5 linked regions of the Oryzias latipes genome follow. Each later gene encodes a partner of the first gene's protein in a complex. Links are inferred from orthologs where the notes say so. Each region holds a gene or a part of one and is shown in the gene's direction. Other genes may lie near its edges.

Region 1 (7,148 bases):
ATGCTCACTAGATTGGCGAATATAAACCAGAGTGCATTGTGTTTGAACAATGTTTGTGAAAACATTTTATTTTATATTTATTATTAAAATCGTTTTCATCATCAGAACTCCGTGGACTCATAAACGATCATTGCAAAACTCTCATATTAATTAGATTTTCACTTCATGAAATCGATGACGTCATATTCGCCATAAAAAAAGTAGTGAGCATGGTGTCTGAATTGCTAATAAAATCCAGGGCACTACGTAGTCCTGCACTATATTGTGTTTTAGTAGTTAGGGAGTAGGGTGGGAATTCGGATATTGCCTTACTCTGACAGAGATGAGCCTGCCAAGGACAACTGGGGCAGAATTTTATTGTTTAATGCCTGAAACTGAGGGCTGTCTCTGAATTCCCTCCCTTCTCCCCAACTCCTGAAACACAATATAGTTCAGAACTTATTTACCAAAGTAAAACCTAAGAAATTCGATTGTAAATATGAAGACTCTAAAGCCAATGTTCTCATAAATTTTTAAAATTATTTAGCCATTTTCGCCAACACGCCAAAGCCCATCAATAGGCAAATTGATGATGATTTATTTTTTTAAGTATAATTTTTTTTTTTTTACCTTAAGTATGGTAAAAACAATTTTTTTTCCCGAAAAAAATTGTTTAACCGCAATGCATTGTGGTCTATATTTCCTGATCTACTGTGCATCGATGCTCATTAGTTTTAAGCAGAGACCTCAGGGACTTGTCCAGGGCACTGGATTTTGGAATTGTAGATTTGAACCCCCCGGAAAAAAAAATGGCGAACGCCACAGAAAGTGCATAAAGTAGTGAGGGAATTCGGACACAACCTACAAAATTGTCTTCCTGCAGCAGCTGGCTGGGGATCTGACGTTACGCCTTTGTCTCCGCAGTTCCCTTTCGAGGACAACATGTTCCAATCGCTGTTCTACCCGGTCCAGAGCAGGTTCCTGGACACGGTCAACACTCTGTGCGGTCGCATTCCCCAGGTCTTCCTCAAGCAGATAGAGAAGACCATGAGGAGTGCTTTTGAGAGGAAGGTGGTGCGCCATGCCAGACCTCGAAATTAACAGCCGAAGACCATGTTGCCCCACCCACACCCCCATGCTGTGCATTTAAAGCAGACGCAACCTGTGAAGGATCATGAACTCTACAGAAATAAAAAAGTAAATAAAAAGAAACCAAACAAAGAAGTCACTTTTTTATTTATGTTGAGAAAAATGCTCATCTCAAGCATTTCTAAGCGACTAAAATGAACATTTTAAAGGTTCAATTGTATGAGAGCAACTCTTGGACAGTTTAAAGAATGGTGAATATTTTAGCGTCACCATGAAATGTGAACGAACCACCACTGTCTGTATTAAATGTTTGTATGTTAAATGTTTGAAAAGCACTTTTTAAAAAAGATTTTTTTCTTTTAGACCGTGAGACTTTGCCTGACCGAGTTGGACAGATTGTGCAAGAATGTTTTATTGGAGTGAAGTTTAAACGCCATATTAATGTTCATGTGTGCCATGTTTACCATACAAAATAAATGGATTTGTGTAGGTGTGTGTGAGCCTGTAATATGAATCTGTGCTGTTGTGACCCACGTGTTACATGGAAAAGTTTGTGGAGTCTACATATGTTTTCAGAATTAAAATTTTTGCAAAAAACTAACCCATTGTGAGTCTTTTTCCCCCTGCTATTACCTTGTTTGCTTTTGTCCTGGTAAGTGGGCGGAGTCTTAAAGACACCACATTCTTTTATATGAAAGACCCACTCTGATAAAATTGTGTTTCTGTTGTTTTTAACATGTTCTCGTGGCATTTTTTCTGACGATGGAAGAAAAATATCAAGAAAGTTAAGCTTGAGATTGCATTTCTGAGTATTACTTCGTTCAAATTGTGAATTAGGAGCAGACAAAAAATGCAGTTTAAAAAAAAAATTGTGCTCCGCGTCATTCTGATTCATCTATCTAAATGTTCGTTTTCCTCGTCCGAGCTAGCATCTGGCTCAATTAGCTCCAACATTGGTCGCCATTTTTTGCTGCAACGCCACTAGGGATGTGAGGGACTGTAAGCTAGCAGGAGAGAGTGTAAATAGAGAGCTCTCAGCAAAGGGGAAGGGTCAGGGGGGTGGGGTTGCTCCGGGCCAATGGTCCCACCCACAACTCAGACATATTTTTTAATAATAATGACCAACTCTTATTTTCTTTTAGTTGCTATATTGTAATGAAATACATCAATTACAATATACGCAGCACACAGATTGGGTGACAGCTCATGGCTGCTGATTGGTTGATTTAGTGAGAAGCAAAACATACTGTATTTGTAACTTTGTCATTGTAGATAAATACATGTTTATTTGTGCGTGTGACATTTCACACACGGACAAAGCAACTTTATAGACAGACATGTTTGTTTTCCCGTTATAAAACAGTTTTACAGACGCACACATTTCTAATGACGGGTACAAACATTTTTAAAACAGACAGACAATCTGTTTTCTACAGATACTAAATCTTTCAACACACACAAATGTCTCATTACAGGTGCAAACCGTTTTGTGCAACAAATCTAACTTCATATATGCTGCTCTGCAAAAAAAAAAGTCTACTGGGAATGCTCTTTTTTTAGTTGTGTTGTATCAGTTCTCTTCTGTTTGTTGAGTTAGACTCGGGCTGTGACTTAACGACGCCATCTTTAATTACCCCCCCCCCCCCCGCCGCCTCCTAGCCTAGCTTAGCATCGGCTAGCCGCCATCCTGCCGTTGACACCCTCAGCACTAACAGAGGCGACGACGTGATGGAAATTGACTCGATTCAAGAGGCGCTCATAGGTCACTTTCTTCTCCTCATTTAACACCAAGCTGACGAAAAATATCTGATAAATGTCTGCTCTAGGTTACACTAAAAAAAGCGATAATGAAGTGGGTTTTAGTTTACGAGAGCTAGTGTCAACCGATGCTAACTTATTAGCTAGTGCTGTCTTCGAAACGCTTAGCTTTCTTTTTAATGTATTCCTTTCTTTTTTTTTTGAAATAACTAGTTAGTTCTTATAGTTAGCTTTCTTCTTTTTGTTTTCCACGCACCATGATTTCAGATGAATTAGCCGGCTAACGCTTTGGGGAAAACTACCGGCTTCCCCGTTAGGCTAAAGTTAGCATCGCAGGGCTACGATAAGCTAATAGGAACTGCTGATCAACACTTAACGAAAGGAAGGGTTCAGCGATATATATTAATTCCTCGGGTTGAGTTAAAGTGGGCATTGAGCGTTAACCAGGTTAAACTGGACGACCACAAATTAATCCGACATTCTCAGCTGCTCAGTTTGGCTAAACTGTTCGTTTTTTAAGCTAGGCTAAATCGAGACCTGTTCGTGTTCAGCCAATTTGTTAAAATGTTTCTACAGATTTTGACAAGAAATCTAAAAAGGAACCATCCCCTGTTCTGGAGGAGTTCCTGTGCCATGTTGCCAAAACTGGACAGACCATGTAAGTGTCCTTTTTCTCTCGGTTTTTCTGCTCCAGTATTTGAAACTCTTCGGTTTACTTTGAGCCTTTCACTTTCCATTGATGCTCTATTGTTCACTTTCACAGGAAATTCTTACTATGACAGTTACCTATATGCTTTTCCTAATGCAAGTTCTGCACGAAATAGGGTCAAATAGAACGGGGGAAAAGGGTCAGTCAGGATGAAGGGATCAAACTTATCTCGGATAATTCCTTGATTTTTGAGTCATTTTTGTTTGCAACCTGGTTTTCAGATTCGTGACAGCTTCTATACTATAGAGGTGAACTCTGGTTTACTTCTCAGTCTGAAGTCCATGCAGATAGCAGTTTATGGTTCGGTGTCTGCAGTTACATCCCACAGAAAACACTGCTGATATTGTATTTGGACCCATCAGAGAGTTTTTGGAGATGTTTGCGGGGGGGGTTTCCGGTCATAAGAAGAATACATCTTTGAAACTTTCCACTTTCTCCAGTTTTACCCGTGTCTATTATTGTCAGTGTTGTCGGAAACGTTCATCTGCCCCGATACCATTTCCTGCTTTTATGGAACTCAACAAATGTTGAATGTGTTGCCCTCTGCAGACATCGAATGTGTGCCGTGTTATTTTAAACGTGACGTTAAAAACCTGTTACACAGAGAATGGTGCAGCTTTACCTTGAAACTTGTGAATCCACGACCACAAAATTTTATTAAAGTTTGGTTAAAGTGAGCTTTCTTTATGAGAATTATTATGGAATAATGAGTGAAATAAATAAATGTATTACAGATGTTGGCAAAAATGAATACTTATGCTTATTACAGCTGTGTGTGTGAGGGGCTAAGTAATCAACTGTAGCATCACCAGTCGTCTAGCGATAACTTGTCTCTTCGAGAAAAGAGGTTAAAAAATAAAGGTTTTTTTTGAGGTGATGGAAAACGTTTTAAACAAATAAGAAACATACAAACTGGGTTGATTTACGTTTCCCAGCTAGTATGAGTGTAAGGTTCTTTATTTTTTCTTTCTATCGTCTAACAAAAGCCCATCCAAGAAGCTTCATCACTTCTAGTGGAAGAGGAAGACCACAAAATCAGCTTATTTATAGGTCTTTGTTTTATTCAGAATATCCCTTCATTCGGGCTTAGATTTCAGTTTCGGTGTATTTACAATAATAGGTGAAGAAATGTCGTAGATGCTGTGGAGCTACAGAATGGTAAACATACTGAGGCCATTCTAGTTCAAATATATGTTAGCTTGATGCTATATTTAGGGATACAGGAGGTTGTTGGTGTTGGTAAAAATGACCACTTCTGCTGATATTTCTGTTAGTAAAGCCTTAGTCACATGCTGCCGTACTGGGTTTGGTTTTTCCAGGGTTGTCGACCTTGAGGGACATCGTGAAAATAAAACATATGATTGTCTTGCGTGTGTTAAGCGTATTGTAAAGTATTTGTAAGGATGTAGGTTTGATGTACAGGTGCTGGTGTCGTACGGGGGCCTTACGCTACACTATTTGTTTAGTAAGGTGCGCATACTGACTCATTGTTGACGGCGTGCAATTGCTGCACACGTGGGAGTGCAGGTCATATGCAAGTGCCTGTAGGACGTCCACGGGAATTAAACTCGTTTGTTCCCCTTTCGGCATATCGTTTCAGGGGTGGCCACAGCCAATCAGCTTTCACTGATTCATACAGGTGGCAGAGATTGTTATTTCTTCTGCCACAACTCTATTTATTTCCGGGCTGGGGACCGGCACAGTGTGTGAAGGGTCTTGCCCAAGGACCCACACTGGATGAAGATCATCCAGAAAACATTATTTGCTCTTCGAGCGTTCTACGAATTTGATATTGTTTGTGGAGCGCCTGTTTGGCCCGCACAGGTTGGTCAATTCTTAACCTGCAGACAGCCTGGATCCACCCATAAGGGAAGTTATGACTAAGGCGTAAAGTGTGGCTTCTCCTATATGATTGAATGAAATGAAAGTGTATTAGAGATAAATCTGTATAATAGAAGGGTTTTCATTTGCAAAAGGTCAATATTTGGTTTATTTGAATATTTTAGAAGTTTCTATTGGATCAAACATTTTTATAGGTTGATCATATCAATGTGTTTTCAGTCATTTATACCCAAAAAACAAGTTCAGAGCTGAGAGTAGGAAAGAGCGATTAAGACTCAGAACCGAGCAGCTGGTTGTTTTTACCAAAGAAAGAGGAACATGGATTAATACTACGACAAAGGAGTACTTTACCGGTTTCCTGTTCATCCTCATCTCCTGTGTCCAACTCTCCAGGGTCCAGTGGTCTCAGTTCAAAAGCTACTTCCTGTTCAAGCTGGAGACGGTGATGGACGACTTCAGAGCGTCGGCGCCCGAACAGAGAGGCGCCGCCAACCCCAACGTGGAGTCTGTTCCATTCGAAGACATGAAGGAGAGGATCCTGAAGATTGTGGACGGCTACAACGGGTGAGTGGACGCTCCAGTTGTGCCGGCCGGCAGAGGGACGTGGAGTTACCGATCAACCATCACCTCATCTCTGAATATGAAGCTAAAGAAATGCTAAGGGAGGAATGTCATTCTTGGTCACGATTTGGGATGTAAAAGGAAGAAAAGACACCGCTCCTGACGCTTGTGGGGGGAGATGTTTGACGACTTGCTGTCCCACATAATTCCGGGGAGGAAAAAAAAAATATATTGTTTCCATCCAAAAAACAAATACAATAACGTTCAGGAGGAGAACAAACGAGTGTGATCAGATTCTCCTCCATGTTGGTTTTGGACTCCACCCACTGATCACATTACAACACGTCACTACCAGACTTGAGTTCTTGATTGGTTGACAAGACACAAATTCTTCGACTAAGTTCAATTATGTGAACTTTGGGACATTTGTGTGGCCAGAGGTTTTGACTCGCATCTGAATTTTTAAGTTGCTGTCTGTGCTGAGAATGTGTTTCCACTCCAGAATGGTGCTGCGTGTCGTAGTCTATGCCCCCCCCCCAGCCCCCACCCCCCAAATGACTGCGTTTGTTTGAACTCCAGGATCCCGTTCACCATCCAGCGGCTGTGCGAGCTCCTCACGGAACCCAAGAGGAACTACACGGGAACAGACAAATTTCTGCGGGGGGTGGAGAAGGTGAGAGCCAAAACACACAAGGGGGGGAGGGGGGTGCTATTTCCAGAAGCTTCCACGTGACCTCAACTCATTCGGCATTTCTTTGTCCTGTTCAGAACGTGATGGTGGTGAGCTGCGTCCATCCAACATCAGAGTAAGTGCTGGCTTGGTGCACGGACGGCGTCCAGCGGACGGCGAGCGTCTTCTGACTTTGCTTGTGTTTCAGGAAGAACGGCAGCACTTCTGTGAGCCGGATGAACGGGGTGATGGTTCCCGGGACCACGTCTGCTTTCACAGAGAGGTCGGTCCAAAATAACGGGGAGAAAAAAAAAACGCCCAAACCCTCCTCGTTGTCTGTTGGTTTCTAACCTTCTCCTTGTCCTGTCAGGAAAGTGAACGGTCCGGGAACGCCGCGGCCGCTCTGCAGACCAAAGGTGTCCCTCGCCAACACAGTAGCAGCTAACGGTCTGCCAGACAGCACAGACAACAAAGACCTCAGCACAGAGCAGGAGGGCAGCAGAGACGGCAGGTACTGCCCAAGGCAGGGTGCAGCACAGC
Region 2 (5,799 bases), about 8.1 Mb from region 1:
GGGATGCTGGGTACATTAACCATGTAAATATCTCTATTGTGGATCATTCAGGCTGCTTTTGTGTTTAAGTCCAATTATAATTGATTTTTCTGCCATTATACAATTGTAATTCTATTTTTTCTTTGCTTTCATTTAGCTTTTGACTAAATTTACTAAAATGGTCAGCTTTTAATTGAACGTCAGGCTATTAGACCAAAGGCTAATCCTTCCTTTTTGATAATGTTATCTGCTTTTTTAATCTATAACACTGATGGTGTGGATCTGTGTTTAACAGGAGTGTGAACTAATCGAGAGTGTAGAGGAGGAGAAAGAAGACTCTCCTCACAGCCCGTTGTCTGAGGATAAACCTAAAATCCAGGTCAGTTGGATTTTCCCTTTGTACTTTTACCAGCACAGAAATGCATTTTAAACCCAGTGTTTGACCCCCACCTGTAGAATGTCATCCCCCAGCCTCTGTTGGACCAGTACCTGTCTATGACAGACCCGGCACGAGCCCAGACGGTGGACACGGAGATAGCCAAACACTGTGCCTTCAGCCTCCCAGGAGTAGCCCTCACTCTTGGTCGACAGAACTGGCACTGTCTGAAGGACACGTACGAGACCCTCGCTAGTGACGTACAGGTCAGGAAAACCTCAAGAAGACAAATGGGATTAGATTTGAAGTTGGATTCTTAAATGTGTGTGAAAAGGTTGGATAGAGAGGCTGCTCAGACGCTGCCTTTTTATTCCTCTGGGGGTTTTTGTTCAGAATTTGAACTTTAAGCTGTTGGGATGTGACCTGACTCAACAGCAAGAACAATGATGTGTGGACTGAAAATGCTGAGGCCACAACTCTGCAGGAAACATGTCAGGAACTTGCATGACTCTTCTGAACAGATTTCTTCTCAAATAGAAGGAAAAGAACATCAGAAATATATGGTAGCTGTACCACAGAAATGTGTTTCAATCAAGTGGAAAAGGTCCCATTGTGATTGGCTGTGGCAACCCCTGAGGGGATACGCCACAAGGTAAACAATAACCATATTGGTATTTCATTTAGGATTTCCTATTCTTCCAAGACTAGTTTGATTTGTAAAAATTAGCTTAAAATGATTTTGACTTTGGTCCTTTTTCATCAGTAATGTTGTGGTATTGATGTATTTTTCCCTCCGAGCTGTGAAACAACACCGTGCAAAAGGAACATACTCTGAAGCTACAAACTGTCGGGACAAATGATTTGTTTGCCTTTGCTCTATCTTTCCCTTATAACTTTTTTATTATAGACAAATAAAGCGACCGTTTTTTGTTTTTTTTACAATTTTAAATTAAATTAGATTAAAATGTCAATAAATTAATCATATTTGAGCAAATCCCTTTGTCTCAATAAAACTTAGCTCAACCAGACAGTGAATGTAGAGCCTTTGTTTCTATGCTGTGTAAATCTTAGGTTTTTTTTCCTGTCTTAAAAAGTAACTCATTTATTAAGCTGCTTGTTTTTCTGTTTCTGCTGCTGTCATCTTGTGGTGTTTTCCTTTGTGGTCTTTCTTAGTGGAAAGTGCGACGCACACTGGCTTTCTCTATCCATGAACTGGCGGTTATCCTGGGCGACCAGCTGACAGCCGCTGATCTGGTTCCCATATTCAACGGCTTCCTGAAAGATCTGGATGAAGTTCGCATCGGCGTGCTGAAGCATCTTTATGACTTCTTAAAGGTAAAGTAATTCCCATGCAGACTAAAGCTGCAGGTACAGTCACAGCTGCTTCGTGAAAGATGTTGAAGCTCTTTAAAAATCATTTCTAAACCAAAGGAAGTCGTTGGCATGGGTGTGCTAGATAATGTTGTTTGTCATTCTCTTGTTGCAGCTGCTGCATGCAGACAAAAGGAGAGAGTATCTGTACCAACTGCAGGAGTTCATGGTCACAGACAACAGTCGCAACTGGAGATTCAGATATGAGCTGGCAGAGTACGTTGACTTTTGTTTCCTCACACACAACAGACTTGAACATCATTTTCTATTCAGTTTATTCATAAAGCACTGCTTCATATTTCTGTGTTAAAAAACATGTCTATGAGGACTCTCATTCATCCAGGTTGATTCCATCATAGTAGTAGGTTTAGGGGCTGTCATCTGCAAACCTACTACTATGGTGTTAAGAAACAGTTTCAGTAGGGGGTGAGGGATGCAAACCAATATATTAGATATCATAATATTTTAGCCAGACTAATAACAGTGTTCCCTCGTTTATTGTCAGGGATAATTAAACCGAGATGGGTGAAATCCACAAAGTAAGAGTATAGATGTTTAAGGCTGTAAAAGCCTTTAGGCACACTTTCGATACTTTTTCAGACAGACTTTACATTTTCCCATTTTCTCTCTTGTTTAAACTCTCAAAGCTAAGACCTTCATGGAAAAATGAGCCCAGTATTATAGAATAAATACAAAGATCTGTTCTCGATCAGTGTTTTATGTAAATAGGGGAACGCTGAAAGCATCCTCTACAGGAGATGCAGCACAGAGGAAATTGATTGACGAGGTCAACAGCCAATCAAGATGTAGAACACATTGTGTTGTAAACAAAACATGCAAAATCACGCTAAAAAAAATCTGAAAACAGCGAGACCACCATGGATGAACACTGTATCTATAAAAGGGGTTTAGGATTGTACATTCCCTTTTTTTATGTTTATTTAACACCACATTATCCTGATTGACAGCAGATTCATGTGCTGTCTCTTGCTGGATTAGTAAATAATAATTATTTGTATTTCTAGCTTCTTTTTTTGGGGGGGGAATAAAGCCAAAATCTGTATATTTTAAGAGATAACCATAACATGAAAAAGAAAGTCATTCTACAACATTCTAGCATTTGGTTCTGCTCACACACTTGTGCACTGTTGAGGCAAAAACATGCGTCAATGGAGAAGTGTGAATTATTCATGACACAGTGTCTGGAGAATATTCTCTTTCTTGACCGTGGTCTCTTCAGGGTCCTAGTGCCAGTTGGATCTAGTCCGGGCTTCACATTGCTGGCAGCTTGCCCTTTCTGTTGTGTATTTTTAACGTTTGCTTCAAGCAGTGACAACAGTAACCAACACACTGAACATGTGTGCACATGAACGCAATAAGTAGCTCCTATTGCCACATATCATGGAGCATAAATGCATTTCTGCTTTGATAGGTATGAAGTCATAACACAATCCTGTCTTAAATAAAATCAGGCATAGTTCTTTTAGCCCTAGATCTGTTCAAATTACAGGTATTCTAACTGACTTTATTTTCTATCAGCTTCATAATTGTGTGTTGCTGTTTTTTTTTTTCCTACAGGCAGCTGATCTTGATAATAGAGTTGTACAACCACCGTGACGTGTACGACTACCTCAGACATATAGCGCTCACCCTTTGCTCTGACAAAGTGTCAGAAGTCCGGTGGATTTCTTACAAACTGGTAAGTTTACAAGAAATGGGGTTTGTAGAAAGACATGTCTAAATATTTAAAGAAACATGACAGTAGTATCACAATAGAGAGGAAGTTTAGATGCTACACACATGGAAGAAAAAAACCCATAACCATCATGATTCAGGTTTTAGCATCAAGGCGACATCTGGGGAAAATATTCCAATTTGTCAGCTGCTGATTCATTCATTGAAACTTCTAGAAGTGGTCTGAGTGGGTTGTGTGCTCTTACCTGTCGTCAGGTGGTGGAAATTCTGCAGAAGCTGTATGCCAGCAGGGCTGATGACCTGGGCTTGGAGTTCATCAATGAGCTGACCGTGAGGTTCTGCCACTGTCCCAAGTGGGTGGGGAGGCAGGCGTTTGCCTTCATCTGCCAGGTCTGTGTTTGCTTTTAGAATCCACATTATATTAGGGAAGAGGTATTCTCAATAATTCTTTGAACACGCTTTTGTTTATTTTGGTTTTAATCTTTCAACTGAATGTATAAAAATGCTGATACTGAGCTCCTAAACCAAAAGACAGACTGACCGGTGTGAACTTTATTACTGCTGTGTGATTCTAAGTTACAAGCAAAACTGATGGAAAAATTTTCACTTAATTTTTAATACAGCAAAGAAGACTTTGATTCCTAAATGCAAACATGCATTCAATCATTTTTATTTGAGTAAAACTTGGACAGACTAAAAAGTTCTGTGGTTTTCTCTGTTTCATTTCTGGTGAATCTGTTTGATCTCTAACAGGAACACTTTCCTCTGAATATCAGCTGTTTCTGCTGTTTTCGCATACAAAAGAAAACATTTGTCAGTGTCAATTAAAGACCAGCAAGTAGATGGTGTTCGGCTTGGTCCCGCCTATAAAATCCTCCCACAATTCTCTGGGAACGATCAACTCATTTACTTGCCCATGTCATACTTTACATATGTAGCCATGGTGAAACAACAGAACTTCATTTGTGTTTAAAAGCCCAGATGCACATTAAAGCTTGCAGATAACCTGAACCTCAAAAAGTGAGCAAAGTGCTCTGGGCTCTGAGGGGTTTTTACCCATCAACTTACAAACTGTGACTAGTCAGTGCAGCTTTCCACTTTTTTTTTTTTTTTTCCTGTTTCTGTGTCCATGGCTGTCTCCAAATCAAATGTCCTCAAAGACACAAGAGGGACAATTCAGCTCAGAAAGGGGGGTGTTTGTGTTGCTGGTTTTATCTGCAACTGAAAATAATTACAAAACTTGTTTTTTTGTCTTCAGTGTTGCACAATCAGATAAGGTTGATGCCATAGAATGCTCTTTGTTGATGAACCTGTTTGTTGACTTTCTATGTGATTTCTCTGGACTGAACTCCTTGTTGACGGACTTCCTCCTGCAGCTTTCTGACTGACCGTTCTGTTGAATCTCCTGCAGGCTGTTGTGGAGGAGGACTGCATGCCCATGGAGCAGTTCAGCCAGCATCTCCTGCCCAGTCTGCTCAGCCTCTCCACAGACCCTGTAGCCAATGTCCGCGTTCTGGTGGCCAAGGCTTTACGTCAGAGCGTGATGGAAAAAGGTATAGAGCAGGAACATTTCATGTGTGTAGATTATTTGCAGTTTCCCAACATTGTTTATTTCCTTGTAATTCAAGCCTTGGAGTGTGACCTTCAACAACCACAACAAAAAGATGTGATGATGAGCAAGGTTCAGAAATGCTGGGTTGGATGTTGAATGTCCTGTTTGTGCAAAAATGTCACCTTTTCTCTCCTTTTTTGATTTTTTTTCCCCCAGCTTATTTTAGAGAGCCGGGCTGTGCCTATTCTAACAAGCTGGAGGAGACTGTGATGGCTCTGCAGTCCGACAAGGACCGAGACGTCCGATTCTTCGCCAGCATGGACCCAAGCAAAGGCCTAATGGACACGGCCCCTTTTATCTAGCCTCAGCTCTCACACACCTTCACAGCCTGCCTGTCTTACCTTCTTGGCTGCCTGACCGACACACGGCTGGCTTAACTGGCCACACCAGCATCTGGACCAGAACCCTTTGAGAGTATTGAATTGGGATGTACAAGTGCACGAATGCTCAGACCACGCGGCCCTGTCTCTGGAGGGACGCTGAAGCGCACACGACAACAAGAAAATGCAAAGTACTCAGAGATTTCCACAGCCGAGCAGGACTCTGGTGGCCGTGGTGGCGGTTGCCATAGTCATGTCTGAACTTGCTCCCACCCCCACGCTAACATCGACCCCACCGCCACAGACTCACACTTTCCAAAGCTAATTCTAAACCCAGTCTTTTGTTTTCTTTGTGGATTTCATGGCTGTGTGTGTGAGTCCTGCTGGACTCTGATGTGTGCACTAACTCAGGGGGACTCATCTGAACCTGAACAGCATTATTAGCT
Region 3 (5,178 bases), on another chromosome or scaffold:
CCGCAGTTTCCTTAGGCCCATGATGGAGCTTTCCATTCTGAACACAACATAACTGAAATGTCTCTATAGGCCTATTAAGCAAATAATAATATTTCTTCCAAGTACTGTTAAATTCTGTACCAAAGGCTGTAGCCAGTGGCCGCTCATTACCATGATTCGCTGGTTCACAGATGTCTGCATAAGTTTACTGTAAGTTGTTCCAAATCGTAATCAAAGTATAAGCTCCCAGAATGCACCGCAACACGTGTCTTTTTAAATATATCCTTACATACACAGACTTAATATGAAAAGACTTTAAAGTGACTCAGAAAATTATTTAGAATTCAGTTGATACATTTAGATTCACATATAAGATATGATAAAAAGTTCCTTCAGCAGCTTGTTGATTTGGACCTGTGTGTGTTTTGTTGTTATGTTAACAGCAGAGCATCGCACAGCAGAAACATTTCTATTGCTAGGAGTCTGACGCTGAATGCTCCTCTTTCTCAAGTTTAGGAGGAAGAAAAACTCCAGATCAGCCCCCCCCCCCCCCTTTTTTTTTTTTGTTCTGTTTTGGGCTTCATTCTTGGGATAAGCTAATACTTCTTCCAGGATCTACTTGGTTGTCGTTGAAGTGAGAGCATGCCCGGCTACAGTAGGTCCGCCCCCCCTTGGCCCACTCAGGTTTTATACCAGGTGACAAGCCTGGCGGTGGAGCAGCGGCGGGGACAGGGCGCACACCGGGCCGGGCCCCTGATTCATGGACAGAGCTCGAGAGGCACAGGCTTCTGCCCGAGCGGGCCTCAATCATTCAGGCAGAAACCGCAGACCCGGCAGCCGGTGCCGTGGCAGGACGGCTGGGTCAGACGGGGCTTCACGGTCTCGTTTCCGATCAGGGAGGCGCTGGCCGACTTGTGCTTCCATACACGGTTCTGCAGGCTGGAGAGACGCTGTCCCGGGGACCCGGCGGACAGTGTGCCGGTCGACCTGCTGCTCGTATAGTTGAACACGGATGTGCAATGACCTTTTCATCACAGGATGTTTGTTTGGCTGTTCTGCATTCTTATCAAGTGATTTACTTCATGACAAGGATGATGATTGGCAGACGGCAATAAAAACAATCAAAGTTTCTTTTTGATGGCCCATGATCAATTCGCATTGATCAGGGTTGACTAGTCGATCGTGATGGACGCACTAGGCAGTGCTATATCGGTGCTATTGTCACCTGAAAAGTGCTTTTCCTGTAGAAGGTGAAGAGTTACTGGAAACTAGAGAATGAAGGATTGTTCAATACTGTATTTTTCAATATTCCCAGAGTTATTTCTTGAAATGATGAAAAAAACTTCTTTTGTAATTGACAGATTTCAGAACACTGTCACTTTTTTTAAACAGAACATGTTTAGAACCTCATTGTCATACGTGTTCATGACTTTCTTTCAGAGAAATCCTGGTTGAAGAGAGTAACGTTCAGAGAGTAGACTCTCCAGTCACTGTAAGTTCCATTTGCTGCTTTTAAATCCAAAGTCGTTGATTGTTCGTTTGACCTTCTGTTCTCTTATTTTTTGTAGGTTTGTGGTGATATACACGGTCAGTTCTATGACCTGAAAGAACTCTTCAGAGTAAGCTTTTATGTTTGTTTTAATCCAAGCTCCAGACAAAATCGTGGTTTATTTTCCTGCACTGCTGTTTGGTTTTGATGGTTGGACACTTCTTCTTTATGGGCTGTGACGTAGGGCTGGACCATTAATCAGTTATGTCCAATTTGATGTTTTAGACTGTTTATTTTTGAGAAAATGGAGACGTTTCCCCCCAGCTCTCTGCTCTCTTCCGTGTTGGGAGTAAAAGCCGCCCGCCGGTCCGTCCAAAGCACGGATGTGAGAACAGCAGCGAGCAAAGAGGAGCTACTTCAGCGAGGCGGAGCAATGAAAACACGAGCGCCACGAGAAGTGCCCCGTAACTTCTGCTAGTGACCTCTGTGTAGAAATAGCAGTACTCTGTACTCAGTAGTTTTAACAGAATGTCTGTACAGAGGCCTTGAAATGTGTTTGCTGATGCCAGATCCAGGTCAACTTTAAAGCAAACGGTGTTATTAAAACAAAAGTTGGGCTGTTTGCTTTAAACTGCCCTTCATTCTGTCTGTACACGTGTGGGTTTACAGCACAGCCGCGCTCCTCTGGTGTCCGATGGTCCGACCGGTTCTCCTCAGGCTGTACTGTGTGTTTTAGCCTGAGGCCTTCTGCTGGCCTCTTTGTGTTTTCTGCCAAAGGGATGAAGAAACGGTAGCGGGTCATTTATAGAAAGGGACGGCTGGCTGGTGTGTGGAGGGGAGGCCATTAAAGAGCAGAGCCTCACTCCTATTGGAGTTGAATCATGAGAACCGCAGAAGTTCAGGGTTTATTATGGAAACCCAAAAACCGTCAAGTTTTGAAACGTTAAGGCATTGTGTGTTGATTCCACTGATTTTAAACCTGCCATTTACCAGGTGGGGGGAGATGTCCCAGAGACCAATTATCTCTTCATGGGGGACTTTGTGGACAGAGGCTTCTACAGCGTGGAGACTTTCCTTCTGCTGCTGGCCCTCAAGGTGAACGATTTGAAGTCAATCAAGCCCTTCCGTGCTGCACTTGTGCAGGTCTCTGACATAAATCCTCCTGTTTTTGGTTCCTCAGGTGCGTTATCCAGACAGGATCACTTTGATCCGGGGAAACCACGAGTCCAGGCAGATCACACAGGTCTATGGCTTCTACGATGAGTGCCTCCGCAAGTACGGCTCTGTGACGGTGTGGAGATACTGCACCGAGATATTCGACTACCTGTCGCTCTCTGCCATCATCGATGGAAAGGTCGGACGGGTTTTCTTCACGCCGTTTCCTCCAAAATGTTGGACGTGAAAAGGTTTTCCTTTGGCTTTTGTTTTGATGGCTTTCATTCTGTCCTCCAGATCTTCTGTGTGCACGGAGGGCTGTCCCCCTCCATCCAAACACTGGACCAGATCCGGACCATTGACAGGAAACAGGAAGTGCCTCACGATGGGCCCATGTGTGACCTTCTGTGGTCAGACCCTGAAGGTAACGGCTTCAGCCAGAGCCGGACTCCGTTTGAGAAGCTGCACGTTTGCCTGATCTCTTCGGTCTGCTCTCAGACACCACCGGGTGGGGGGTCAGTCCCAGAGGGGCTGGATATCTGTTCGGGAGCGACGTGGTGGCTCAGTTCAACGCCGCCAACGACATCCACATGATTTGTCGAGCGCACCAGCTGGTCATGGAGGGCTACAAGTGGCACTTCAACGAGACTGTGCTCACCGTGTGGTCCGCACCCAACTACTGCTACAGGTGACGGACACCTGTCCGGTTCCACTGATTTGTCTCTGTGTAAAAGCCTCCCTTTGGGACACGCCCACTTAAGGAGTTGAATGCTAGTTAGGTTTAGGTTAGCGGTTAGCTGTAGGAACAGCGTCTCTAATTCAGACTGCTGCTGTGAGGAGATTTACTGGCTGTGCTTCAGCACGACTAGAATGCAGATGCAGAGAAAATGGACCTTTGGGAACCGGCCAGTCCTGCTAAGACTGAAAAGTACAACTGTTTACTTTAGGCTTTGCATTCAACCAAAGCTGTTAAATGTTTGTTTGTCTCAATATTCAAAGCAAAAAAAATTTATTTTATTTTCTGTAGTTAATTTATGTTTTCAAGCAGCAAAACTCCAAATATTTGTTCTGCATTTAGAAATTCGTAGCATATTTTTGGCACTATGAGGAGCACAGAATAAACCTTCATTTTGGTCAAAATGACTTGTGATGTGGAGCGACTTAAGTAATTAACGTGTAGAGCGTCGCAAACAGGAATTAGAAATATTGTTTATAAAGTCTGGACTTTCCTCTGCCTTTTTATTCTCTCTTCATGGACCCTATAGTGCAGTGCGCCTTATATATGACGTAATGTAGAAAATAGGTTATTTATTGGTGGTGCACCCTATAAAACAGAAAATATGGAATGTTTTCTGGACATTTAGGTGTGCAACGGATGATTTGTATGGACCACACGCCACGGCTAAGGTTTAACATGCGTCAAAGGTCCTAGTTAATGTTTGTCCTAAGGTGTGTGAGCCTAAAGCTCCCGCCAAAAGCGTGTCGACCTCCGCATGGAGGACGCAGATGATGACAGATGGCGTTTCTTCATTTTGAAGAGCTCTACAACAGCATCAATGAGCAGCACACGCCTCCATGTGTGCCTCATGAAACCATTCACTCTCCCAGTGAGGAGCAGCAGCTGCCCCCAACTGTGGCAGGAGAAGCCGCCGCCCCTCTGGAACCAGTGGGAGGGGCTTGTAGCAGGGGATGGTGGAAGAATGGATAATAGTCAATTCCTCCTACATTCCCTGCTTTTCTTACTTTTAAAAAAAACTGTATATACATTTTTTTGCACGGTGATTTTGATCAAATCGATTAATTGATCTGAATTGATCCAATCTTAGTAGATCAATAATAGATCCATTAAAGTAGAAATCGATCTTTTATGCTCATTTTTTTCCGGGGATCTAATGTATAACATCAGTAAAGCCAAAGTCTGCTAGCTTGATGCTAACGTATAATGGAATTTCCCATAGGACGGCTAATGCTAACTCTTGGACGACCCAAACATACATTACTGACTCAATGAGCAGCTTTATAGACTCACAGGCAGGAATTTTCCAAACTCTTTTACAGAAACATTTTTGAAAGTAACCATTTGTGGTCTAAAGCTCCATTTTTTGCTCCAATCTTCTGGAATAAAGTGTAATGCTATAAGGAGAGCTCCACCTAGTGGCCAGACGGAAACGCCCTCCAGCAGAGACAGACCATAATGATCTGGTTGTTCAGTTAGAGCTTCTCTGTTGGAGAAAGCATGGAACGCCGTGTGCTGTTAACCATCTCACTGCTTTATTGTGTCAGCTCTCCTGCTGCACTTTAGCTCAGATTGACATCCTGAGGATTTTGTCTAAATAGGTTTATGTTGAGTTCAGAGAGTCATTAGTGTTTATAGAAAAGCCTCAATGAGCAAATGTTTTAATGTTATACATTCGTGTCTGTTTACATACATATTTTGAAATATTTATATACTTTTCATAAAACATGTTTTGTGGGCTTTTATCTTGTTTTCTGATCTGAAAAGTTCTGAGATCCGCTTTAAACCTTGTTTGTGCTGAAGACGGCGTCCTTCTCGC
Region 4 (6,861 bases), on another chromosome or scaffold:
AGAAATAACATCTTTGAAAAGTATCAGTCTGGTTTTAGGACATACCACAGCACAGAGACAGCCCTTGTTAAAATGGTAAATGATATTAGATGTAACTCAGTCCTGGAACTACTGGATATGAGTGCTGCATTTGACACAGTAGATCACAGTATTTTACTTAACAGACTGAGAGGTTTGGGCATCGCTGTTCTGAAGTGGTTTTGTTCCTATCTCACAGATTGAAGATTTCATAAAAGTATGGATACATGCTTAAAGGTCTTTGAAATCAATTGTCGTGTCCCCCAAGGTTCAATTGTAGGCCCACTACTTTTTAATTCATAAATTATGCCACTTGGGAACGTCATAGGAGGCCTGGCATTTGTTTTCATAGCTATGCCGATGACACAACTCTACATCGCTGTGTCTCCTGAGGATGAAGAGTCAATCAACATACTCTAAAAAATGCATTTTAGACATTAAGTCATGGATGGCTGAGACCTTCCTACAGCTCAACCAGGACAAAACAGAGGTTTTAGTGATCGGTTCTGAAGACAAGAGAGAGATTGTTTTAACCAAACTAAAGAATGACAAAACTTCTCAGTGTGTGAGAAACCTCTGCATTTGTTTTTTTGACCCCGAGATGAATTTTATTCCACAAATTGAAAATAGAACAAAAACAGGATTTTATCATCTTAGATATATTGCCAGAGTCAGCCCATTTCTCTCTATTGCCCGCATAGAGGTGTTGATGCATATTTTTATTTCCAGCAGATTAGATTATTGTAAGGCCCTGCTCTCTGGTCTTCCCAGAACAAGGATATTGAATCTTCAACAGCTGCAAAATTCAGCAGCAATGTATTGACGAGGACCAAGGGGCGGGAACACATTACACCGATTTTAAAATCACTGCATTGGCTCCCTGTGTGCTTCAGGATTGATTTTAAAGTTCCTTTATTGGTTTATAAATGTTTTTATGGTTTCAGGCCTTCATATTCATCTGATATGATTTTAAAGTGTGAGCCCTCGCGGAACCTGAGGTCCTCTGATACAGACCCTTTGGTTATTCCAAAATTGGAAACTAAAACATACGGCGAGGCCTCATTTAGTTATCACGGACCTCGCGTGTGGAGCAGCTTCCCAGCATGCCTCAGGGCCGCAGAGACTGTTCATGTTTTTAAAGAAAGGTTCAAGACCTACCTTTTTAATATAGTTTAAGTTGAATTTAGTAATGAATTTATTTAATTTTTTTGTTATTTTGTTTTTTCTTTTCACTCATTTGATATTTTTTATTCACTTTTACTGATTTATATCTGTCTATTAAGGTTTATTTTTATATTTATTTATCCGTTTCAACTTTATTTTATTGCTTTCACAATTTATTTGTAACTTCAGTGTTTTCCTCAGAGGGATCCTCCACATCAGTGACTGACCTTTTTCAGTGAACGGGGTCACTGCAATGGGATCTACCAGGTCTGGCTCTTATACTTAGATCTGGGGGGTCCCGTGGCAGCTGTTCTGTGAACTTTAGTGGGGGTCAATGATCTGGACATGTCCCTGGACATGCAGATTTCTACATTGCATCATTTCTCTTACCATGGTGTGTGTATGTGTGTGCGGGGGGGGGGGGGTTCTGGGCACTGTATTGGTTTTGGACAAATTATTTGGCTATTGTCTTGTCTTTTGTTTTTAAATTTTAATTGTTTTCATGTAAAAAAAGGACTTTGATTAGCATGGCACATAACAATTGAAAAAGTGCTGTAGAAATAAAGTTTGATTTGATTTGATTACTGGACAATCATCTCTGAAGTCGGCCATTACTTCTACACTCCCCTACTGGAAGGCTAAAATGGCAGCTCTCATATTGGCTGATGTTAACTTGAACCTTTCTCATATGGGGAAAAAAGGCAGGACCGGATTAAGTCATTTTTTTTCCCCTTTTGTTTTTGTCCACACCCATGTTGTACGCCGGACCCTCCATACTAACGCTAACTACTTCAGCTACTTCAGCTTGGAAATGTTTTTTAACATTTAAAGCTTTTATAGTAGAGTGGTGCAACAAACATTTTCACTTATTTTAGTACAAACAGCCCCTTCTAACACATGACAAGTTTGAATGTGTTATTTCTGTGGTCCTAATCTGTCATATCAAAATATGATATCCTATTGTCATTAATCTCTTGATGCTCAAGCTAATATTTAAGTTAACCCTCTTCACACACAGTCACAGCAGGACCCCATAAGCAGAATGAACATCTGTGGCCACAGACCCCAAAATGTGATGTCCACCCATGTGGACCACATGTCTGCAGAGGGTAAAAATGCCTGATGCTGCCTCCTCTTCTGATGACAATCCAAAGAAAAGTAAATACAGAATTGTTCTTTTGAATTCAAACTCATTTACTTAAAAAATGTTGTCAAAATATATTTACATATGGTATGTATGTTGAGTATGAACAAGATTAAATAATAATTATTAAATATTTTCCATTGTGTATTTCAGACACATCTTTGCAAAACCAGCGAGTGTCCAAATGTTTTTTGAGTGAAATCTATTTTATTTTCCTCACAATTGCAGTCTGAATTATCAGTGATGGTTAAGTCTGCCGGGCATCAGAAAGTGCAGCTCAACAAAACCAGATATATCAACATTTACTACGGCGGCGGACGGGATGAAAGAGGACGTCCAACATGCCACAATGCTTACCCCCTTTTTTCTTTTCTTATTTATTTAAAATTTTACATTTTAAATTCTTATCAAAACATTTGGATTCTTGACATTGAGGTTGTCTAAAAGTGGACCAGTAAGGAAGTTATTTGACGTTTTACCCTACAGATAAGGATTTAAAAAAGTGAACAAAACCGCAGCAGAGGGCCCCGTGTCAAAGTTTGCCTGGGGCCCCCAAACTGCTAAATCCGCCAGTGCTCAGGTCAGGGTGTTTTTGTCATTCTGTCCCGGATCAAGCCGTATGCTTCGGAGTTTCCGCAGCTCCGAACTTTGCGTTAGAAATACTTACAGTCGTGTTGGGTTTCTGTTTATTTTGTGTGCGCTGCCACTTTTACGGACAAGGCTGCTGTGGACGACGTGCGTGCTTGCGTGCGTGTATGCACAATGTACTGTAGGCAGTAGTGAGGGGGTGATGACATGCGCACACATAATGCGCGTGACCAGAAGGAGTGGGCATTCAAAGTAGGCTAAGCTCTGCTATTGGTAACACACGCCCTCCCGGGACCAGTTCTGAGAGATCCAGGATGGAAGGTGTGCGTACTGCGGGTTCGGAGGATTCGGTTCGACTTATGTGACGTCTCCCATCCGCGAGCAGGGATCTCCTTGGAAACGGATGGTGGCAGCCTCCCCCCTCCCTCCTCGGTTGGTGCTGAGCTTGCTGCCTGGCTTCCCACAGAAACTACTGACCGACTGGGCCGCTTTCATTCAGCAGATGTTTCCCGGCAGGATGGCCCTGAGCCCCCCCAGCCCGCTGTGCGGGCCCCCAGAGGAGCTGCAGGAGCTCGCCTTCATAGAGCGGCCGATTCGCAGGACCCTCAAGGTAGGGATGCCCTGTCCACGCGCCGGTGGACAGTTCTAGCACGCACGTGCGCGAATAGGCGCGTGAAAACTATGCTGATAGAATGATGGTTCTATGAAGAAGCGGGGGGAGGAAGATGGGCAGCCGAGGAGAAGCAGACGGAGACCCGCAGCGTGACGCAGTTCCTCAGCCTGTCCATACAGAGACGGAGTTAAGATGACGGGCACGCGCTCTTCCACTCTGTTCGAATTTGAAGAAAGAAAGACAGCACGTTTAAGTAGCTGTCACCTCACTGGTCACGCGAAGATGGTAATGACATGTTGGGACAGAGCAAGGGGGTAACTCTAGCGGGCGGGGGGGCAGTACCTCTAATGACCAGAGAGGCTGGTGCTCAGACTGAGCATTTTGTATTGACGAAGTTACAATTGGGATTCCCCCCATAAATAAACCCTTTTATTGCCTGGTGCTTAAACCTTTTTTGCCTAAATGGTTGAACATTTAATACATGACAATTCTGGGGGCAGTGTATATTTTTTAAATTTGTAGCTTTTTTAAACAGTTTATTTTTGCTTAATGGGGTGGCACGGCTTTATGATTGACCGATGATGATCGCGGTGGATTCAAGTATTTGCGCTTGGAGGAGGAGGTGATATTTGAGCCCAATCAAAATTGACATATTTCATAAAACTGCAATAAAAACACTTTTTTTCAAATTAAATGAATCACGTGCCCATTAACTCTGCACAGGTAGCCAGTTTGCATCCATTTTCTTACCCACCGGGGTGCTGAGTTTGCGGAGACTGTCCGGCTACTGTTGGCCGAAGGAGGGAAACACCCTGAACAGATCGCCAGCCGGTCGCAGGGCTATGGGGCTGGAGCGACTGCGCTGGCTACGCCGGCTGAAGAGCAGACAGAGCACCACTGCTGGATGGGGAGGCAAAAAAGTGCACTTTTCTTATTTTTTCATTTTGAATACTTCTTCGTTTGGACAAAATAATATTTTGAGGGAATTATTCAATTATTTCACTGGTTCCAAATCAATCCCCTGGTGCCATTTGTCGTCACTCCATTGTCATCCTGGCATACATGGAACTGCTACTGTAGTCAGAAAGAGTTTTTGGTGGCCTTCCTTACTCTCTGACATGAGGAAATATGGGACTGCAAGTCCAGTTTGTGCCAGGAACAAAACCTCCTGTCTACGACCGTCTAGTCTCCTCAACCCTCTACTATTCCCTGCTGGCCCTGGTCGCATGTCACCATGGACTTTGTGACTGGTCTTCCAAGCTCTGAAGGTAACAACACTATACTAACAGTCGTTGATAGATTCTCAATAATGGTGCACTTTATCGCTCTACCAGGGTTACCTTTTAGACCGCTGAGGTACTCTTGCGTCAGGTTGTCAGGTTGCACGGCATCCCTAGACACATAGTCTCGGACAGGGGCCCACAGTTCACAGCAAAGATCTGGTCTGAGTTTTGCAGACTGCTGGGTGTATCTGTTAGTCTCTCATCACGTTTCCATCCCCAATCCAATCTCCATCAGAGAGACTTAACCAGCAGCTGGAGACCAGCCTAAAAATACTATGCTCTTCAGATTCTTCGTCCTGGTCACGCAATCTGATTTGAGCAGAATATGCCCACAACACCTTACATTGACCTCTACTCGTCCTTTGAGGTTGTCTACCACCTGTGTTTCCCACCCTGGAGGGTGCTGTCTCTGTCCCATCAGCTCAAGCATCCATTCGTATGATCCATCTTTTCTAGTGCAGGGCTAGGTTGGAAATTGTTCAGGACTGTGGACTCCTAAAAGCACCAGGCAGACAAACACAGAAGACCGGCACCCGTGTACGGACACGGTCAAATTGTATGGCTATCCACCTTCTGCTGTGTGTGACCCATAGGAACCTGGCACTCCGTTTCATCTAACCCTTCCCTATAACCAAAGTAATTAACCCTGCTGCTGTAAGGTTACGGTTGCCCTAGCCCCATATGAGTAAACCCCACCTTCCATGTGTCCAAGCTCATGCCTGTCCAGGAATCTGACCTCGTTCCCCCTGACAGACCCCCTCCCCCTGCTCGGTTCATAGATAGGGGTACCGCCTACACCATTAGGGCTCTTCTCAACTCACGACGCAGGGGAAAAGGCTACCAGTATTTGGTCAACTGGGAGTAATACGGTCCAGAGGAGCAATTTTGGGTCCCCTCCAGGCTCATTTTGGACCCTGTCCTGATTGGTCAGTTTCATCGGGATCACCCTGGGCAACCGGGTGATCCATCAGTAGACGGCACTTAGGTGTGGGGCACTGTCAAGATTTGTTTCTGGTTCTCCATTTCTGCCTTCCTATCCCCACTCGCTTCAGCTGTGACCCGGGGTATATTAGATTGGTGTGTTCGCTCATTCTCTGCCAGTTCGTGGTTCCTCATCTGTCGTTGAATCCAACCGTTTGCTCAAGTAATTCTTGTCTGTCTTGTTTCTACTGGCTTCCCAATACATGACTTCCATGGAGTCTGCTCCCCTCAGCCCTTGTCGCTCATGCACAGAGTCTGCTGGCCCCACCTCCCCAACACTCACAGGATTCCCCTCCATGTCAATGACGTCACACTTCCTCAGACGCTCACCAGGACATCGGGCCATTCAACGATAGGACCTTTGGACTCTAAATAAACTTTTTCCTTCCCTGTGCGTGCCTCAACTTAGGTCTCCACTAAAACATAACAATAAAAATAATTTAACGTTTTTGTGAATGACAATTTACTTTTCATTAGAATGATGTATTTATGAGTTATGTTATGTATTTATTTTTAAAATATATCTATTTATTCAAAACATTAAAAGTCATTAACACTGATAATTCTGTACATTTTTTCCTTCATGTAAAGCAGGGGTGCCCACAGTTTTTTGCCGTGCGAGCTACTTTGGAGGTGACAAGCTCTAAAAGATCTACCCATCTATTTATATATATATACCAGGGACGGAATCAACTATCAAGGCTAATGGGGGAATTAAAATAACAATGGTGAGCTATTGACATAATCCAGTGAGGGCCCCCCTGAGAACCCATGAGAGACAATGAATCACGTCATGCCAGACGTCGCCCGTCCAAACAAGATCCGCGTCAGGTGCTGGGGAACCAGAGCACACTGATGGAAAGTGAGCTACTGGAACAAGACGGAAATGGACTAGATGTGAGAACAAGGTTCTGTTGGAATGTTACTACTCCAGTAAAACTACTAATAGAGGTTATGTGCAGAGAATGTGGAGTGAATGGATGCTTCGAAACCCACAAGAAAGGCTAACTGCCAAGCTCAATGTTCCAACATCCGCAAATGGCAACTCCTATCACAACTTGAGATTGAAG
Region 5 (6,011 bases), on another chromosome or scaffold:
TATTTAATATTTCAACAATTAAGGAGTTTTATACTTGGTTTAATTGAGTCTTACAATTGAAAAGCTATTGCATAATAGTAAAGTTTTCCTCCTCTGTGGTTATTCTGTTGTAAGAAAGTTGGGAATAGATGATGTGTAATTATGCTAGTATACTAAGCTTTTTTTACTTGAAGACTTTGTAATGTGAAATACTGTTATATTTATCATCAGTACAATTGTTCAACCTTAGGAATAACACAATTGTGGTATTTCATTACCACAAGAAAACATATACATTAAAACAATACTAGACATCTTATGCAGGGGAAATGAAAGGGAGCAGCAATAAGAAAAATATATCTTTCTACCCCTAAAAACATTTAGAAGAGGTACATCTACAACTATGTACACAGAAGTATCTTCTTTTTTTACTTTTCTACACCTGTTCAGTCATTTAAAAACAAAGTCGTTGGTTGTATTTTTGTATGAGTACAATGATTAAGGCACACATTCTGGGTTTAAATTAAGCTTTATTTAAAGTTTTAATGTAAAATATGTTTGAAGACAATTGTTGTTGTTGCTATTTTTGTATTTTTGGTAATAGGAAAAAGTTTCATTCTTTTCTTTCAGGACACACTGATTGTTTGGTCAGAAGCGGATAATTACGATCTTGCTCTAAGCTTCCAGGAAAAGGCTGGCTGTGATGAGATTTGGGAAAGGATCTGTCAGGTAATTACAAATAAAGACAGTTCAGCATGTCCCTCCTTCTTGGTGTCCCTTCTCTTTGATGTTTGAAAAACGTTCCTGTCAGGTGGGACTTTGTAACTGTTACTGTATAACGATTGAAACATGTTAAATAACATATATATTTTTTTATAAATAAAGGGATTGAGGGTTTTGGTCTTTTAACTCGTTAAAGTTTGACATTGTATTTTAGCAAAAAAAATAAGTTTATTTTTAGCTGTGGCTCATACCTGCAAGTATCACATACGTTTAGAATGTATAAGAATGCTGCGAGTTTTGCAGTTTTTACTACCAGTATCCCAAGTAAGGGAGTTCATGATTCTTTACTGTAAATTTTTTTTTTTAAATATGTGATTTTTATTTTATTATTTTTGCTCAGGTACAAGGCAAAGACCCTGCTCTGGACATCACTCAGGATCCCATCGATGAATCAGAGGAGGACCACTTTGAGGAAATTCCAGAGACAAGCCACTTGGTTGAGCTCCCGCCATGTGAACTAGGTCGACTTGAGGAAATCGCTGACCTGGTTACCTCTGTTCTCTCCTCACCCATTCGGCGCGAAAAACTTGCACTGGCTCTAATGAGTGAGGGCTACATAAAGAAACTGCTGGGTCTCTTCAGAGTATGCGAGGACCTGGACAACAGAGAAGGCTTGCATCACCTCTATGAGGTTGTGCGGGGAGTCTTGTTCCTCAACAAAGCTGCCCTTTTTGAGGTGATGTTCTCGGATGACTGTATCATGGATGTGGTAGGTTGCCTTGAGTATGACCCAGCATTGGTTCAGCCTAAAAGACATCGGGAGTTCTTGACCAAGACCGCAAAATTTAAGGAAGTGATCCCGATTACGGACTCTGAGCTGCGGCAGAAAATCCACCAGACCTACAGAGTTCAATACATCCAGGACATAATACTGCCTACACCCTCAGTGTTTGAGGAGAACTTCCTGTCCACCCTCACGTCCTTCATTTTCTTCAACAAAGTGGAGATTGTCAGTATGTTGCAGGTAAGGATCTAAACCAGGCTAAAGTGAGTGTAAGTTTCAGTTTAATGTATTTAACAATGTAAATTAAAATGTTTTCTATTAAAAGGGATTCTTTTAAGATGTAATCAACATTCTGCACATTGACTGTTGGACAGTCTGTATCTTCTGTTGTTCGCTACGTTAATGTACTCTCTCCAGTTTCTAATACAAAAAAATTTATGGCAAAAAAATGAAATTGTGATTTTAAAAATGTGTTCTCTACATAAATAGGAGATAATTGAGAGAAACTGAACAGGATAATACTTGTGCTAGTGTGTTTTGCATTATTTTCTTGAAAAGTTCACTGTAAGTCAAGATATTTGTTTAAAAAAATGACAGCGTTTAGAATGTGCCAAGAGAATGAGTTGTTCTACAAAGCTTCAACCTGCTTTGTCATAATGTGTCCCCCTCTATTGTTTCCATAATAATGTCTTAATACATTTTCACATAAAAGTTTAAGATGATCATTTGAGATTTTCATCATATATCTCAGATTTCTTCTGTTTTTAACTTTTTTTTTAATGTTACCTGATAGTAATAGTTTAGTTGTCTTTTATATATATATTTTAAAAATAACTTCCGGCACTCTTCACTGTTTGTATTGTTTCCATGGTGTAATCAGTTCCAACTGATTTCCTGTTTCTTCCAATCTCTTGCATGATCTCTTCCAGGTTTTTAATTTTGATCTGAAATTGCTCAATTTTTTCACACTTCATTTTATTTATTTATTTACTTGATTTAGCCGGCATAATACCAAGGGAGTCCTGGCAAAGAGACAACCGCAGTTGGTTAAAAATACATTAGAACACTTTAATGAGAACATATGGTGTTTGGATTGAAAAAATGACCGTCTCATTTTTTTTAGTATCAATTTTTTTAGAAATTGTGTGTATAGAGCCAACTCTCTGTAAAGTTTTATTTAATAAACAAAAGGCATAGTCAGTGGGCGACAGTGTGAAAGAGAATTAAATATTTAAACCTTCCAGCTTCTCCTTTGTTTTTGTTTTTTTCTGTCATTCTGTTTGTTTATACCTGAACTGTTTTCCCTGTTTTCCACAGGAGGATGAGAAGTTCCTAACAGAGGTCTTTGCACAGCTTACAGATGAAGCCACAGATGACAGTAAAAGGAGAGAGTTGGTAAGTTAATCATCAACATGCTTCACTAAACCCTTTATTTGTTGTTTAAAATCTATTTGTAAACGGCATGGTTTCAAAGATTACATTCCATTATAGTCGAATGGAAATGTTTAATATTTGTACTATTGTTTTTTTGAAAGCATTAATGGTTGGTCTTTAATTTTGAAGTTTGAGTAAATACTGTCTTAGTTCATTTCCTTATTCAATAGTATAGCATTTGTTGAATTTGAATTGTTTTGTTGGATCAGGTGTAATCATTGACATCCGCTGGAAAAAAGCATTGTAGAACAAGGGAAATTAGGGTTAAATATGTTGGTTTTTTTTACTTACTACGTTTTTCTTTTTGTCCTTTTTTCCCTCTCACTTTTAGGTGAACTTTGTCAAGGAATTCTGTGCTTTTTCCCAAACTTTGCAACCACAAAACAGGGATGCCTTTTTTAAAACCTTGGCAAATTTGGGGATTTTACCTGCTCTGGAAATAGTAATGGTATGTCTGTTTTTTGTTTAAAATGCTGGCTTTTGGATGATTCAGAGGAATGCGTGCATCATCACTTTCCAATTTGTTGTTATCAGGGAATGAATGACCTACAAGTACGGGCAGCAGCTACAGACATCTTCTCTTACCTGGTGGAATTCAGCCCCTCCATGGTCAGAGAGTTTGTCATGCAGGAGCCTCAGCAGACGGATGACGTAAGTTTGGATTCATCTGTCACAAGCAAGCTCTGCTTTGAGTTTAACCTGTATCCACAGTGATATTGATTTATAAATGTACTGATTTTTGAAAGTGTTGTGCTGTTTTTACTTTTATATTGTTGTACAAAATAAATAAATCAAGTGGGTTTTAAGTTGGATAATATGAAACCATATTTCTGAAGTGTTATCAGCAATTAGGGGTTTGTTGCTTTTTTTTTAAACCCCATTTCAATAATCCTTATGAAAGTTCATCTATATGCCGTTTTGATTACTATAAACTCTGTTTACTTACTCTTAGAAACATCACAGTATACGTTTCAGATTTTCTTTCCTCATTGTTTTCCCTTTGTGCTTGTGTGTCAGGATGTTCTGCTGATAAATGTGGTGATCAAGCAGATGATCTGTGACTCAGACCCAGAGTTAGGAGGAGCTGTTCAGCTGATGGGCCTTCTCAGGACTCTCATTGATCCTGAAAACATGCTGGCTTCCACCAATGTAAGCTCCACACAACTACACAGAAAAAAGGATTCCTCTATTTTACATGAATGTAATTATTTTTTTCTGATGTTCATTCTTGAAAACACTTTTGGTTTGGTCGGTTTGAGCTTGTAGCTCATTTCAACATTTTTATGTTAAATAATTAACAGCAAATTGTTACTTTTCAACCTAAAAGCCTCATAGATTCGTTGTGAACTCCAGCTGATTATTGATAGTTGGTCTGAAATCTTGATCGTTGACCTAAAGTAAAAAAAAAAAATACATTTGATGAAAAAAATAAAGCTTGATTGTTGTTTTGATTAAATTTTCATGTCTTTTTCTCCTTTCATGTTTTGATAGAAAACAGAGAAGACTGAGTTTCTGAGTTTCTTCTACAAGTACTGCATGCATGTGCTCACTGCTCCTCTGCTGGCCAACACGGCACATGACAAGACCACGAAAGGTAAACTTGGGACTTTGCTGTTTTTCTTCTGCTGTATGGGAAAAGGTCTTGTTTGATTTATGCAGATATTGATGTTTCAGATCAGCAAGACGGATCCACAAAGATCAACCCTGTCTGTCCAGGTGGGTGTTAATGCAGTAAATGTTCCAGCCTGTGTACAGCACAGTTTCTAGAAACGTTACTACTCAGAGTACACAGGTTCGCTTAAGCCAGTGCTTCTCAAATAGTGGGGCGATGCCAGGGGGGGCCGCGCAGTGGTAGCGGTTTCAGGCACAGGTAATACGGGCAATTGCCTGGGGCGCAAATTTAACGGGGCGCTGTAGTGACAGCGGCTCAGTGCTTGGAATAAAATCTGCGCCACTATTGATTTACTCTTATCTGTTATATGACAGAGTTTATAACAGCCTGAAACCTGTGAACTGCCGTCCCTGCAGCTGCTCCTGTCTGCTGTCACAGACAGCGTGTGTGAGAATGAAAGGGGAGGGGTAGTGCGCTCAGGCTGCAGGTTGAACAGCGCATGCGGAGCGCTAGATTGCGCAACACCAGGATCATCACGTGCCTTTAGATTACTCACCTCATGCTAATAATGTCATTCTTTAAGAACTATTGTAGACATTTTGATGACGTCTCTGTATTTTCCATAAATGTATTCTTTGTCTGCCTGTCGTTTAGTTGGTGTCAGTATTTGACATGAAGACAGCAGGAAAACAGCTGCACTATATGATATCATAAATAATCATTTTGAAAAAAATCAGCATAATGTTTTTTACCTATTTCTTCCTTGCAAAAAACTAATTGTGAAGCACTGCCTCAAGCCTTGGTTTGTTGTGTAAGTAAACATAAGTCGTTTTCTTGTTTCTGTAGACAACTTCCAGACAGCTCAGCTGTTGGCTCTGATCCTGGAGCTGCTCACTTTTTGCGTGGAACACCACACCTACCACATCAAGACTTACATCATGAACAAAGACCTGCTCAGGAGAGTGCTGGTGCTCATGAACTCGAAGCACACCTTTCTTGCTCTTTGTAAGTCCATCCAGGAGCAAATGACCTGCAGCCCAAGCTTCCAGTCTTGTTTTCTTCGAGTGTAATGTTTTTCACAATAATGTATTTGTTTTGTGTTTTAGGTGCCCTGCGTTTCATGCGCAGAATCATTGGTTTGAAAGATGAGTACTACAACCGCTACATCATCAAAGGGAACCTGTTTGAGCCTGTCATAAATGCCCTGCTGGACAACGGCACTCGATACAACCTCCTCAACTCAGCCATCATTGAGCTCTTTGAGTTCATTAAAGTGGTGCGTAAAAGCTCCAACTGCAACATGTGTTTGTGTTTGCAACAAAATTAAGATTTTCTACATGTCTTTTTTTAGGAGGACATCAAATCACTCATCGCTCACATTGTGGATAACTTTTACAAAGCACTTGAACCCATTGAGTATGTTCAGACCTTTAAGGGCCTGAAAGGGCGTTACGAACAGGAAAAAGACAGACAGAGTCA

The links.
Region 2: ppp4r2 (region 1) and ppp4r1 share a complex: the UniProt entries of both Homo sapiens proteins name them as parts of the PP4 complex. The link is inferred for Oryzias latipes from reciprocal best matches to the Homo sapiens genes PPP4R2 and PPP4R1.
Region 3: ppp4r2 (region 1) and ppp4c share a complex: the UniProt entries of both Homo sapiens proteins name them as parts of the PP4 complex. The link is inferred for Oryzias latipes from reciprocal best matches to the Homo sapiens genes PPP4R2 and PPP4C.
Region 4: ppp4r2 (region 1) and ppp4r4 share a complex: the UniProt entries of both Homo sapiens proteins name them as parts of the PP4 complex. The link is inferred for Oryzias latipes from reciprocal best matches to the Homo sapiens genes PPP4R2 and PPP4R4.
Region 5: ppp4r2 (region 1) and ppp4r3b share a complex: the UniProt entries of both Homo sapiens proteins name them as parts of the PP4 complex. The link is inferred for Oryzias latipes from reciprocal best matches to the Homo sapiens genes PPP4R2 and PPP4R3B.

Annotation. Positions count from the first base shown.
Region 1 is NC_019863.2:21,901,849-21,908,996, reverse strand, and holds the start of ppp4r2 (serine/threonine-protein phosphatase 4 regulatory subunit 2), read left to right. Parts: upstream 1-2,699; 5' UTR 2,700-2,796; coding exon 2,797-2,830; intron 2,831-3,402; coding exon 3,403-3,484; intron 3,485-5,770; coding exon 5,771-5,941; intron 5,942-6,517; coding exon 6,518-6,611; intron 6,612-6,706; coding exon 6,707-6,744; intron 6,745-6,816; coding exon 6,817-6,891; intron 6,892-6,978; coding exon 6,979-7,119; intron 7,120-7,148. Other genes in the region: gxylt2 (glucoside xylosyltransferase 2), read left to right, coding at 904-1,080. UniProt on the Homo sapiens protein: Regulatory subunit of serine/threonine-protein phosphatase 4 (PP4). May regulate the activity of PPP4C at centrosomal microtubule organizing centers.
Region 2 is NC_019863.2:13,851,069-13,856,867, forward strand, and holds part of ppp4r1 (serine/threonine-protein phosphatase 4 regulatory subunit 1), read left to right. Parts: intron 1-274; coding exon 275-358; intron 359-435; coding exon 436-621; intron 622-1,528; coding exon 1,529-1,690; intron 1,691-1,841; coding exon 1,842-1,942; intron 1,943-3,304; coding exon 3,305-3,425; intron 3,426-3,676; coding exon 3,677-3,811; intron 3,812-4,832; coding exon 4,833-4,974; intron 4,975-5,189; coding exon 5,190-5,335; 3' UTR 5,336-5,799. UniProt on the Homo sapiens protein: Regulatory subunit of serine/threonine-protein phosphatase 4. May play a role in regulation of cell division in renal glomeruli. The PPP4C-PPP4R1 PP4 complex may play a role in dephosphorylation and regulation of HDAC3.
Region 3 is NC_019866.2:25,209,922-25,215,099, reverse strand, and holds part of ppp4c (serine/threonine-protein phosphatase 4 catalytic subunit), read left to right. Parts: intron 1-1,419; coding exon 1,420-1,471; intron 1,472-1,547; coding exon 1,548-1,598; intron 1,599-2,461; coding exon 2,462-2,563; intron 2,564-2,648; coding exon 2,649-2,822; intron 2,823-2,920; coding exon 2,921-3,047; intron 3,048-3,121; coding exon 3,122-3,311; intron 3,312-5,178. UniProt on the Homo sapiens protein: Protein phosphatase that is involved in many processes such as microtubule organization at centrosomes, maturation of spliceosomal snRNPs, apoptosis, DNA repair, tumor necrosis factor (TNF)-alpha signaling, activation of c-Jun N-terminal kinase MAPK8, regulation of histone acetylation, DNA damage checkpoint signaling, NF-kappa-B activation and cell migration.
Region 4 is NC_019882.2:23,188,756-23,195,616, reverse strand, and holds the start of ppp4r4 (serine/threonine-protein phosphatase 4 regulatory subunit 4), read left to right. Parts: upstream 1-3,060; 5' UTR 3,061-3,317; coding exon 3,318-3,524; intron 3,525-6,861. UniProt on the Homo sapiens protein: Putative regulatory subunit of serine/threonine-protein phosphatase 4.
Region 5 is NC_019873.2:15,891,948-15,897,958, forward strand, and holds part of ppp4r3b (serine/threonine-protein phosphatase 4 regulatory subunit 3B), read left to right. Parts: intron 1-609; coding exon 610-708; intron 709-1,102; coding exon 1,103-1,726; intron 1,727-2,803; coding exon 2,804-2,881; intron 2,882-3,251; coding exon 3,252-3,368; intron 3,369-3,454; coding exon 3,455-3,571; intron 3,572-3,937; coding exon 3,938-4,069; intron 4,070-4,411; coding exon 4,412-4,514; intron 4,515-4,579; coding exon 4,580-4,636; intron 4,637-5,378; coding exon 5,379-5,537; intron 5,538-5,638; coding exon 5,639-5,808; intron 5,809-5,883; coding exon 5,884-6,011. UniProt on the Homo sapiens protein: Regulatory subunit of serine/threonine-protein phosphatase 4 (PP4). May regulate the activity of PPP4C at centrosomal microtubule organizing centers.